3 linked regions of the Drosophila melanogaster genome follow. The protein of the gene in region 3 interacts with the protein of the main gene of each other region in a pairwise test. Each region holds a gene or a part of one and is shown on either strand. Other genes may lie near its edges.

The links.
Region 1: the proteins of spartin (region 3) and CG33144 interact in a two-hybrid assay, tested with the Drosophila melanogaster proteins (one large-scale study listed by BioGRID).
Region 2: the proteins of spartin (region 3) and CG31038 interact in a two-hybrid assay, tested with the Drosophila melanogaster proteins (one large-scale study listed by BioGRID).

Annotation. Positions count from the first base shown.
Region 1 is NT_033778.4:10,796,612-10,800,366, forward strand, and holds the start of CG33144 (uncharacterized protein), read right to left. Parts: upstream 2,099-3,755; 5' UTR 1,729-2,098; intron 1-1,728.
Region 2 is NT_033777.3:29,875,014-29,878,768, forward strand, and holds the start of CG31038 (uncharacterized protein), read left to right. Parts: upstream 1-2,045; 5' UTR 2,046-2,102; exon of another isoform or gene 2,103-2,913; 5' UTR 2,914-3,358; coding exon 3,359-3,755.
Region 3 is NT_033777.3:4,652,772-4,656,526, forward strand, and holds the start of spartin (spartin), read left to right. Parts: upstream 1-2,028; 5' UTR 2,029-2,308; intron 2,309-2,387; exon of another isoform or gene 2,388-2,499; intron 2,500-2,746; 5' UTR 2,747-2,761; coding exon 2,762-3,755. Other genes in the region: Karybeta3 (karyopherin beta 3), read left to right, coding at 1-565, 681-1,318. UniProt on the Drosophila melanogaster protein: During postembryonic development, functions with endocytic adapter Eps-15 in neurons to restrain synaptic growth, by inhibiting BMP signaling, and to control synaptic endocytosis. Required presynaptically for neuromuscular junction (NMJ) neurotransmission.

The sequences.
Region 1 (3,755 bases), on a different chromosome or scaffold from region 3:
AACGCTCAGTGGAGATTATGGCGCAATTTGCATACGGGCATGTGCCATTTGAAGATGTCACCACCCGTATCCCTTATACCGGGAAATCCTCTGAATTCGTCCTCTCAACTCCGACCAGCGAAGGACTCGCTGTCGTTTAATTGAGCCAGACCATCGCCAGCGTACAATTTGGTGTTCTATGTGTGGAGCGCGAATTTTTTTCGCCCTTAATTGAAATACGGGATAATGACTCCAAAAAGCTTTCAGTCTAACTTGCCCTGCAACGATGGATTGCATAGATCAAACATTTGAAAGTGCAAGAAACTGGCTGGAAAACTGTACAGCAAATCGCAATTTGGTGGCCAATGTCATTTGTCAAACTATAAAATTGGGTTTTCTTAACTAATAAGCTTAAACAACTTGTAAAATAAGTTGTCACACTGATCGATTCTTTAGCTCAAAGAAAAAATAAATTTCTTTTGAATAAATATGTATTTTATAATATTAATGCCAATTAAAAAAGTACTCGCATTCAAGGTAGGTTTTCTCCAAAACATTTATTAATCTACACGAGCATTTTTATACCTATTGCTTTCCTAATATTGAAATGAAATGCTGGCAGGAAATACCATAAATATGAAATGCTATACCTTTTCATCGGTTCCTTACGACCTCTTCGCTGAAATTTTTCAATAACTCTCTGGGGATTTTATGGTCGCAATTTGCAATTTATCATCAATTTGATGTGCAAAGGGCCGAACATAAAAGTGGCTCAAATGGTAAATGTAACAAAGGGCAATAACGACGTATGTATATGGCTGCAGCAGGCGACTGACTAACCCCCAACTAGATCCATAAGCGTAAAGCTTGATTTTCTATTGATTTCTGGTCAGAAGCTCACTGCTATCACCTGAAATTCTGAGTGAAATGCACCTGCTGCTCCTACACGAAGAGAAACGTCACACTCTTTGATAGGTTAATGCCAGTACCGAATTAAGTTGCCCATACATTAAAACCTAAAATCTCTTTTTTATTGCAGTACAACAGAAATTTTGAACATTACAATTCATAGTGGTTTATTTTATGCGAATTTATTGTTGTTGCCCATTTAAAAGATTATGAAAATATTTTATTTTATATATTTATCATGTAATGTATTCATGTACTACAATTTTCTCCAAGTATTCCTGAGTTAACTCTTCAGCAGAATAGCAAAAACTATAGCATACTTATGGGCCGCTTTGAGAGTTGCCATAAGACGCTTAATAACTGTGAGTAGTGCCCAGCAGGGGCGTGTATGAGGAGGGCACATGGCAAGGACATGGGCGTCGAATTGAGGGTACTCCGTCCGATGTACGTGCCAATGGCCGTAGTCGCAGTAATAAACACACGCACAGCCCAGTTAACACAGAAATATGCCCCAAGTGTCAGGGCGGGCAAAACATGCGATGATGAGTGGGGAAAGTAGAGAGGAAATGCGGGGGGGGGGAGCCCAAGGAAATGGGAAATGGATTTTCAGTGGCCTTTGTAATTGTTGTTTTTTGTATTATTCTTGTTTTTCTTTTGTTTTTTTTATAATTACTGCGATAGAGCTGGTTTTTGTGTGTAAGTGTGTTGCTGTGGTAAGCACACATAACGGTAATTTAATTAACATACATAAACACTCACACCGGCACACATAAGGAGAATGTGGCACACAAAGAAAGGTGAAAGGTTGGCGGAGGGGGTTTTACTTCTTTGGGCACTTACGAATCGGTTTCACAAACTTTTCGACCCTTTGTAATCGATTTCGAAATGGGGGTCTAACACGGTTTTAATTAAGATATTTATACTTTCGAAAAGCACTTGACAATTTTTGATTATTTTCAATATACTATTTTAATTCTTGATTTGATCAACAAGCGCACACTAATTTCGGCTATACTTTTTATATATTTATAATTTTGTAAATTTTTTTTTATGATTTAACTATATATCTTTGGAGGTGTGTGTTTACAGGTTCCTTTTTGATTTTATTGTGTTGGCATTTTGCTGCTTTGCCGCCGGATGTTGCACGTTGCGCCAGCACTTCCGCTTTGCGACCGAACCAACCGTCGAGAAACGCGTTCCGCAAGCGAATAAACAAACGGACTTCCACCGCACACATTTGTCGCACTTCCATGGCCAGTGTTGCCGTGCTGCACGTCCTGCGCACTGCGCACGACGCGAGAAGAGAGAGTTTCCCTCTCCCGCTGCTCTCTTCGAAATGCAACCTGCTGACGGAACATCTGTGTTTTTGTTATTATGCTTTTGTCAGGGCAACAGCAACAACTGTAGCATTCAATTGCAATTGTGGCAACCGAACATCCATGTATTTCAATTACACTCACTCGTATGTCGGGGTCACCGAAAATAACTGCCGACTAATTGATGGCGCACAAACGATTTAGGAGCACATTTTGATTGATTATTGCGAACTTTACATATGCATAAGTATGAACGTATACGTCCAGTAATTAATCTGAGTTGTCATAGGAACAAGATATAGATATCAAATATTTAACGAATTGCTATTGTCTAAGATGGTCGTATTCATCAGAAATATATCTGAAATATACATATATCAATATGTGTAATAATATAGACAGGTAATTTCTTCTAGCCAACTATATTGGTATTGAAGTTTAGAAGTGGGTTATTGCAATGATTTTTATTTTTAATATTGGCTTTATGCCTGTGAAAATAATCAAAAATTGGTAATAATGTCAATTTAAAGGAACCCGGTTTTTTCGAAGCACAAATATGTGGCTTGGACAGCTCAAGTACAGCGCCTTTTTTGCAGGACGATTTCCACACAATTGCAGGATTTTGTGCCTCGTCGACGACGCTGCTTAATGTCAAGGTTTTTTGGCTGCTGTTGCAAGTGCAGCAGCAGCAGGAAAAACAGGAAAACCAGAAACGGCCGAATGAGAACGGCACGTGGCCAGCCCCCGCAACGAAAAGGGGCCAGAAAGGGGGTCGATTATGCCATTACCAGGGCAAAGCTGCACCTTCCGCCCCCGGAACCCCCAACCCCCTGCCAGTGCGCCGCGCATGAATGCCGCGACAGACCCGATTCGAAAGCCAATGTCAAGTGCACGCGGCACAAGGATATGGAGGCAGGAGTATATTACAGGCCGCCATCTGCCCCACTGTCAGTTCCCCTTCCTCAGTGCCCACAGCAGCTACAGTGGAGCTTCTATAAATTGACATTGGGCTTTCATCAATATTGAACTCTTCGATATGGACTGGCTTATGAAGACTCGTTTATAATAACACATAAATCCTATTTTCATATACGGCTTAAGTTTGACATACACAGGCTCGACTGTACCTCATCATCGAGCATTAGGACGGTCGTTGTTGTGACCTCCAAATTGGTTGGCACACTCACCTAAATGGGAGTTTATCTATATTTTATGTGCACGACTTATACCTCAGGCCCATTTCACTTGATCACCAATTAGTGACTATATGCTCAATATTTGCCAATATCAAACATCAGGTGCTTCGTCAATTAACTTGTTAATTAGATAGGAAATAGATTCTGTGGTTATAATTGTTTTTGTACCGTATTATAATTGTTACTACTTATTGTAGACGAATTTACATTAATCGATATCCATCCAAATTAGTCTGCGAATTCATTAGTTCAACAAACTACTCAAGGATGATGAACTTTTACTAAAACTAATTCCGTTCATCGGCTTTAAATAAAATAAATCAACTGTTTCATAATAGTAATTAATAAGTCATAT
Region 2 (3,755 bases), about 25 Mb from region 3:
TGCTGGCCAACCTGCAAGGGTACGAGCGAATCGGTGGGCCGAATCGAAATAAGTTATTTTATCGCCTAAAGTCTTAACCTAACTAACCTATTATAATTAACTTTTAAATGATATATATTTTGTGTAAAGTAAATATGTGCAACCAGGACGCTAAATGTAACTTTAATTCTACCAACGAAACTTACGTTGGCGGGGGTTTGGTTTTGAAGTGCTTCCGGATTAGAGTACGTCTAAACATTCATTCCTCCAGCCAGGCATGGTATTTAGCAAAGCTTAACCTTCATATTTGGGGCTTCCTGAGGTGCGAGCTGGTTGAAAGTTAAGTAGCTGGCAAAGTAAACAGGCGGTTGTAATTCTATACTGATACTGCAGACATTCGTAAATCTTAGGTATTATAATTCCGGGAAGGGATGACGTATAGATAATTAATGAGGGAGCAAGTGAAATGCAAGACTTGAGTGGAACAGCCTTCGGTTTGAATGGTTTGACTCCCTTTGACTGCCTTTTTGCCGTCCCGCCTGATTTGCATAGTTTGGGGCTGACCGTCTACTCGCTCAATAATGAATGCGTCAGTTTCAAATGGCATTACCCCCGAAAACGAAGTTGATAGTCTGCGACAAGTAGTATGTGCAATGCTATGTGGCACCATAAATAACGTGGCCATTCTAGTGTCGCATTCTGGGTCCTTTTGCTTAGCAATGACAATAGTAAAAGTGCTGAAAGGGAAGCACGATTAGAGCTATTACTTACACTGGCTATGTTTATGTTTTTATATGTACTGTATGCATTCATGGCGCAGCAATTCTGCAAAATTTCTGCATATTTGTTAGGGTGGACCTGAGTTGTACTCATGAGTACTCATACAAATCACTCATACGTAGTGTGGACCTTTTCATTTGATTTTCACAAGGAAAGGCATGTCAGTATCCAAAAGCAATATTAAGTAAAATAAATGTCCTGGTTGGGATCTTACTTTCTCCATAAAAATAAAGTCATGGGATGTTTCCGAAAGAGGAATCGTGTTAGGAATCTATGTTAGCTTGCCTAACAGGTCGTATGAGTAATTTATTAAACGCTTGGCTTTCTTGTTATATCTGATCATTAACTTGTATATAGGCTATGATTCCCCATGAAAGTCCACCCTACGGCACGTACTCCGGTACTTGCACAGGCAATCAATAAAGATTTTTTTTTGGGGAGTTCGGGTGGCGGGTGCTTTGTCGCGATGCGGCAACAACAGCTGTTGCAACGCCAGACGACCCCCCAAAAAAAGGAAAACCGAGCAGCAGCCAGACGCCGGCAACCGGGGAACCTCATCATCGTCATCGTACTCCAGCACCACCCGTTTCAAGAAGCAATCAATGCACTTCTGGCCATGTGCCAAGTTTCTCTTCCGAAAACCTGGAGAGGAGCAGAGAATCGGCCAAAAGAGAGGAGCAGCGGTGTATAAGAGCTGGTTGGGTTCCATTCGGTTGCGGTTGAAAAGCTAAAGTTAATTTAAAGTTCAACCCGTTTGGTTTCTAACTTTTCGGAACTTTAACCGTGTATTTTGGGTTTGGTTTATATAGTTTGGTACAGTAGTAAAAGATACGAAACATTTGCGTTGAAATCAATTTCAAATTGTTGTTTAATTAAGAAGCCAAGTTCCTTATTTACGTAGGTGCTCACAGTGGAATATAAGAAATAATTGTTCCTAAAATAATCCTTTGTACACGAATACAAGAACTTACTCAATAGTTTAAAATGCTTACCTATATTTTTGTAACGAAATATAATTCATTTTACATACAAATAAAAATAAACCGAATTTATTTGCATTCAGCTTGGTAAATAATAGAGTAACTGCGTGACTGCATGCGATGCAAAATTATCTTTGAAGTGCAGACTTTTCGAGTTGTGCCGCGTCACTCGTTTACCCAAGGCACCCACACTGTCGCACTCGCAGACACACACACACACGCATACCAGTGCGGCCGTGTAGCAACAACAATGTTGAGCAAGGTGCGCTGAGCCTCGCTCTTTCGAATCTTTCTCTCCGTTTCGGTTTCAGTTCACTTCTGGCTCTCGTGCAAAGCGCATCGTACAGCGGATATATCGCATCTGTATCGTATCGTAAAACGAATCGTATTCGCATCCGTGTCGGTCGCATCTGCGTGCTAGTGTGTGTGAGTGTGCCCGGGTGTGTGCGAGTTGGTGTGTCCGCTGCAATGGTCTTGGCTATTTGAAGCGCAAAAGTGCAGTATTTACTGTTTGGTGATTCACTCAATCATTAGAATACCCAAGAGATAACTATCATATCTTGGGGTTTTCCCAACGAACCGATCCGATAAAATGGAAACCCTGTAAACTCATGCTCCCCCGCCTTAAAAATCGGTTCAGTGATTTACGTGTGGGTGTGGGTGCAGTGCTTAAATTATACACGTAAAATTTAAACAAATAAAGGCTGTTAAAAAATCGTAAACTCGAGATCCAGCTAGTGCCGAATTCAGTGCTAAAGTGAAACTTCTTTGTGCAAACAACAAAAACCGTTAATTGCCAGCGCCATTCTTTTAAAGGCCCCGACTTATAAAGAGTGTTTTCAGTGCCTATATGGTTTTACTTAAGTCTTTTGTTTATCGTTGTACCCATATTGTTTTCAGTTTATCAATATATAGATAATTATCTAAATGGAGGAGCTTTGTTAATTGATATAACAAGCCTTAAGCGTTAATGTTCCCATCTCATAGGTCCAAGTCAGAAAACCAATCCCCTTTCACTTTAAACAGATCAGAATCCAAGGATTAGGTCGCTTATTCTTTTTCCAAACTAATGAACAATTAAATGGCACGGCGTTGTTGGTCGCAAAGTTTCCATTGCCCGATGCAGAGACCCAAAACCAAAATAAACGGAACCCTTTCACTTTAAAATCCACAGAACCCCAAAGATCGAAAACGAGTTTCGCAAAAGAGCAAAGAGCCGAGCGGCGGCCATGCTTATATTCCATATCGAATAACTGAATAGCCGACCAATAAAGTGTTACTTGGCACATCCAACATCCAACGTTCAACTAGCAATCCAACTTACAATATCCAGCATCCAACTAGCTCCGTTGCATTGGCCTATATTCAAAATAGATCAGAGATCGACTCGAGAGACCGGAGGAGATGTGGATGAGGTGGTGACGAGGAGCTGCGGAGGAGATCGCCATGTGAGAAGAGCAAAACTAGTTTCCCATTTGCGCGCTTATGCTAAGTAATAATAATAAATAAGCGCAGTAGTCTCTGGCTTGCCGTTCGAGAAGTGACCTAAAAATACTGGTTTCGAGTGCGGTTTTGGCGTGAGAACGTGTAGCACAGCGAAGGCACCACCACCACCACCAATGGCCACCACAGCCGCCGGATCAGCAGCCACCACCACCAACACGATGGTGGTGAAGCGGCCAGGACCACCAGTGCCGCCCAGGCCCAAAGCAGCAGCTCAGCTGGCCAATGGAGCAGGAGCCCCTCCGATCATTCAGAAGAAGCCCACCTTCGTGAGCCAGCTGAGTGCAGTGGGTCGTACCTTGGTCTACAAGTCGCCAACGGTCAATCTGCCCAAGAAACAGGCCCAGACCCAGACGCCCACCACGGCGGTGCCAACGCCGCCGGTGAAGCCCCTGAAGCTGCGCAAGGCACCGGATGTGCCCACGGCCAAGCCCAGGGATTCAATGACCTCGGTGGTCACGGTCAACCGGCATAACTCGATAAGCGTGATCGGGAGCACGCCACAGACCACAC
Region 3 (3,755 bases):
CGTCAAATGCTGCCCATGCTTAAGTTCTACTTCCACGACGGTGTCCGCACAGCTGCTGCTGAGTCGCTGCCTTACCTTCTCGACTGCGCAAAAATTAAGGGTCCACAGTATCTGGAGGGCATGTGGATGTTCATTTGTCCGGAGCTGCTCAAGGTAATCGTCACGGAACCGGAGCCAGACGTGCAGTCGGAGCTGCTGAATTCGCTGGCAAAATGCATTGAGACATTGGGTCCGAATTGCCTTAACGAGGATGCCATGAAACAAGTTCTCGAGATTATAAACAAGTATGTTCTGGAGCATTTCGAGCGTGCTGACAAGCGTTTGGCGGCTCGCAATGAGGAAGACTACGACGACGGTGTGGAGGAGGAGCTGGCCGAGCAGGACGACACAGATGTTTACATCCTTTCCAAAATCGTGGACATTACACACGCCCTTTTCCAGACCAACAAGGCTCAGTTCTTACCCGCCTTTGAACAGGTGGCTCCGCACTTTGTCAAGCTACTGGAGCCCAGCCGACCTGTAGCTGATCGGCAGTGGGGCTTATGCGTGTTCGATGATCTGATCGGTGAGTTGGTTTTCTTAATTGAGTTTTGCAGTTCAATAGTACCGCCGATACCTTCAAACATCAAATCATTTGTGCCACCATAAAACTAAAGACTTGTATTCTCATTTACCTACAGAATTTTGTGGCCCCGCTTGTGCTCCATACCAGCAGATCTTTACGCCAGCCCTCGTCCAGTACGTGTGCGATAAGGCCCCAGAAGTGCGCCAGGCGGCTGCCTACGGATGCGGGGTGCTCGGCCAATTCGCTGGTGAGCAGTTTGCGCATACATGCGCCCAGATCATTCCACTGCTGGTGCAGGTCATCAACGATCCCAAAGCCCGCGAAATCGAGAACATCAGTCCGACAGAGAATGCGATCTCGGCGTTTGCTAAGATCCTCAAGTACAACAACTCGGCGCTGAGCAACGTGGACGAGCTGATCGGTGTTTGGTTCTCATGGCTGCCGGTGTCCGAGGATTCGGAAGAAGCCGCCCACATCTATGGCTACCTATGCGACTTGATTGAAGGCAACCATCCGGTCATTCTTGGGGCAAACAACGGCAATCTGCCGCGCATTGTCTCCATCATCGCTGAATCCTTCTGCACCAAGGTGGTTGAGGCGCAGTCCGCCACCGGCACTCGTATGCTCACTATCGTCAAACAAGTGGAATCGAATCCGGAGGTAATGGCTGCTTGTGCCAGCACCTTGAGCCCGGAACAGCAGCAGGCGCTGCAGGATGCCTACCGGGAGCTGGCAAACGTGGCTCCCGCCTAAGATATCGCAATCCCAATCCTCTTCAGACCAAGTCCATTCATGTCGACCAAGCCAAGAAAGGAACGATGGATGCTTCAGCTACTCGTTATCATTATTTTTCATCTTACCGAAATTTTGAAGTATATGTTTAACACATAGATATCCATTTATACAGATATACATTTATGTGTACAATAGAGTTATCCGGGTATATAATTCTATACATATTGTGATTTTAATCAAAACTCTTCTCCCGAAGACAAAAGTCTGCCTCGTTAGAATTTGATATGTTGTATGGATGCGATCCAAATGCCATCCCAATCACACCCAAATTCCAATAGAATATTTTCGTTACTCAAATTTTCATATGTTTAATACATATGTGTGTATATACGGCCCTAACGGCCGCCTCTCCCTGCGGGGAAAACAGGATGTAAACGTTGTCCGAATCGAACGAAATATAATTTTGTGCATTCAAACCAGGATCGACAAATATATTTAAAGGAATAACATTTATTGTATTTTAAACATGATAAAAACGAAATAAATAACAAGTAAATCGATATTTTAATTGCCACGAGCTTATGTTTTAGTATTGCTTTTTATTATTAACCATTCATTCAATTTCAAATTCGATTCCCGCAAAAGACTTTTCAAAAGTCGTTGTGGCAACTCTGTCTGTGGCAGTGAACATGCAGAGGCCTCCTAAACAGCTGATCTGATTCGCAATGGAAAGTAAGCAAATCAAAACAAAGATGGAAAAACTTGGAACATTCAACTCGAATGGAAAACACACATTTTAACATGTTATTTACGAATTTAAGTGATATTAGGCAAACGATATTCTCACTTTAAAGGTGTGCGACTAAACAGGAGCAGAAAATAATTCGTAAAATTAGTGAGAAAATAGCGAAAGAGAGCGTTTCTCTGTTTGCTTTCTAAATCATTAGGTGACTTGGTGGGCAAAGTGCAGATTAAACGCTCAGAATCAGACGAAACCAAAACCCAAAGGTGAGTGAGTGCAACAGGTAGACGGTGAGTGCAGCGGAAGGGCGGATGCGGTTTCGTTGGCCACAGTTCAATTTAGAGCAGCTGCAGGAGAAGATGTAAAAGCGCGTCATTCCCACTTTGGTGACGCATTTTGGTCACCCTTTTAGTTGGTCGCGGTTGCCCGCCTCGTCGGGATGTATCTCTGCCAGCAAGTTCGTTTACAATATCTTAAATCTCACGAATATTAACAAAATATGTAGTAATTTGCACTATAAGACTTACACAGAACTTTGCGAAAGGGGGATTCATAAGAATAAAGACAGCACATAGAACATGTATACTAACTAAACCATAAATAACCATAGTCATTGACTTTAATAGATTCTTAGTTCTACATACTAAAGTTTTGAGGGCTTTGGTTTTTTGTATAGTATCTAATGTTTCTGTGCTGTTTCTTAGGTATTAAAGGCCGCGATGGCGGAGGAGGAAAGCGAATTCCTGGAGGCCTATGCTGGCATCAGAACAGCCTACAAAGCGGCCATGACTCAGGTGGACCTGGCCGTAAGTCACGAGGAGCAGGAATCCCCCGGCCAGGCCATTGTGGCCTATGAGCTGGCCCTGCGTATGATAGAGGACACCTTCGGCATTCCAGTAGGTCTTCCCAACAAGATCGACACCGTGCAGGCGGAGTGGAACGACGCCTGTGCGCTGATCCAAAAGCTCAAGAGCGCCGAAACGGAATTGAGATACCGCCTCAAAGTTCTGCGATCCCAGAAACAATCCATTGATGATTCAGCCGTGGAGGCCACGGAGGAAAGTCGAGCAGAGATGGATACAAAAAGGCCGCCGTTGCTGGCGGAAAACCCCTCCACGCAATATGGCATAGCCAATGCTAGCGGAGCACCAAAAACCTACAGAGAGCTCGCTGCCGGCTTGCGGGAGCTCTTGGCTGTTCGGGACGCCAAAGTCTTGCTCGATGAGCTCTTCCGTGCACAGGTCAAAATGTACCGAATCGAAGCCAGTGGATCAGTAACCACCATAAGCGGCTCGTCAACTATGTCATTGGTAATGTGCACCGTGGGTGGCAAATGGAAGTACCTCAGTGGCATCTACTTCATTCAGTGCTCCATGCCAAATGAGGGGACTGCAGGGATTTGGCTTTACCCCCTGGTTCCCTCGATCACAAACTGCTACCAAACAGAGTACGGAGCCTTTATTTTTCCTGATATGGAGTGCCAGCAGCCGGGCAATGCATTTGGTTTGATGCTAACGAAGGAGGGCCAGACATCGCGCACGGAGGACGAACTGGAGGATCTTCAGCAGTTCTTTCTTGACCTGTTGGAGGCCGTACTCGCTGGCACGGTAGTGCAGCTGAAATCGCCGACCTCCCAACGTGCTGGCCTAGCTTCAGATACCGTTTCCGGGTCGGAGCAGGTGTCCAGACACATTGTAAGTGCGGCTGATTTCA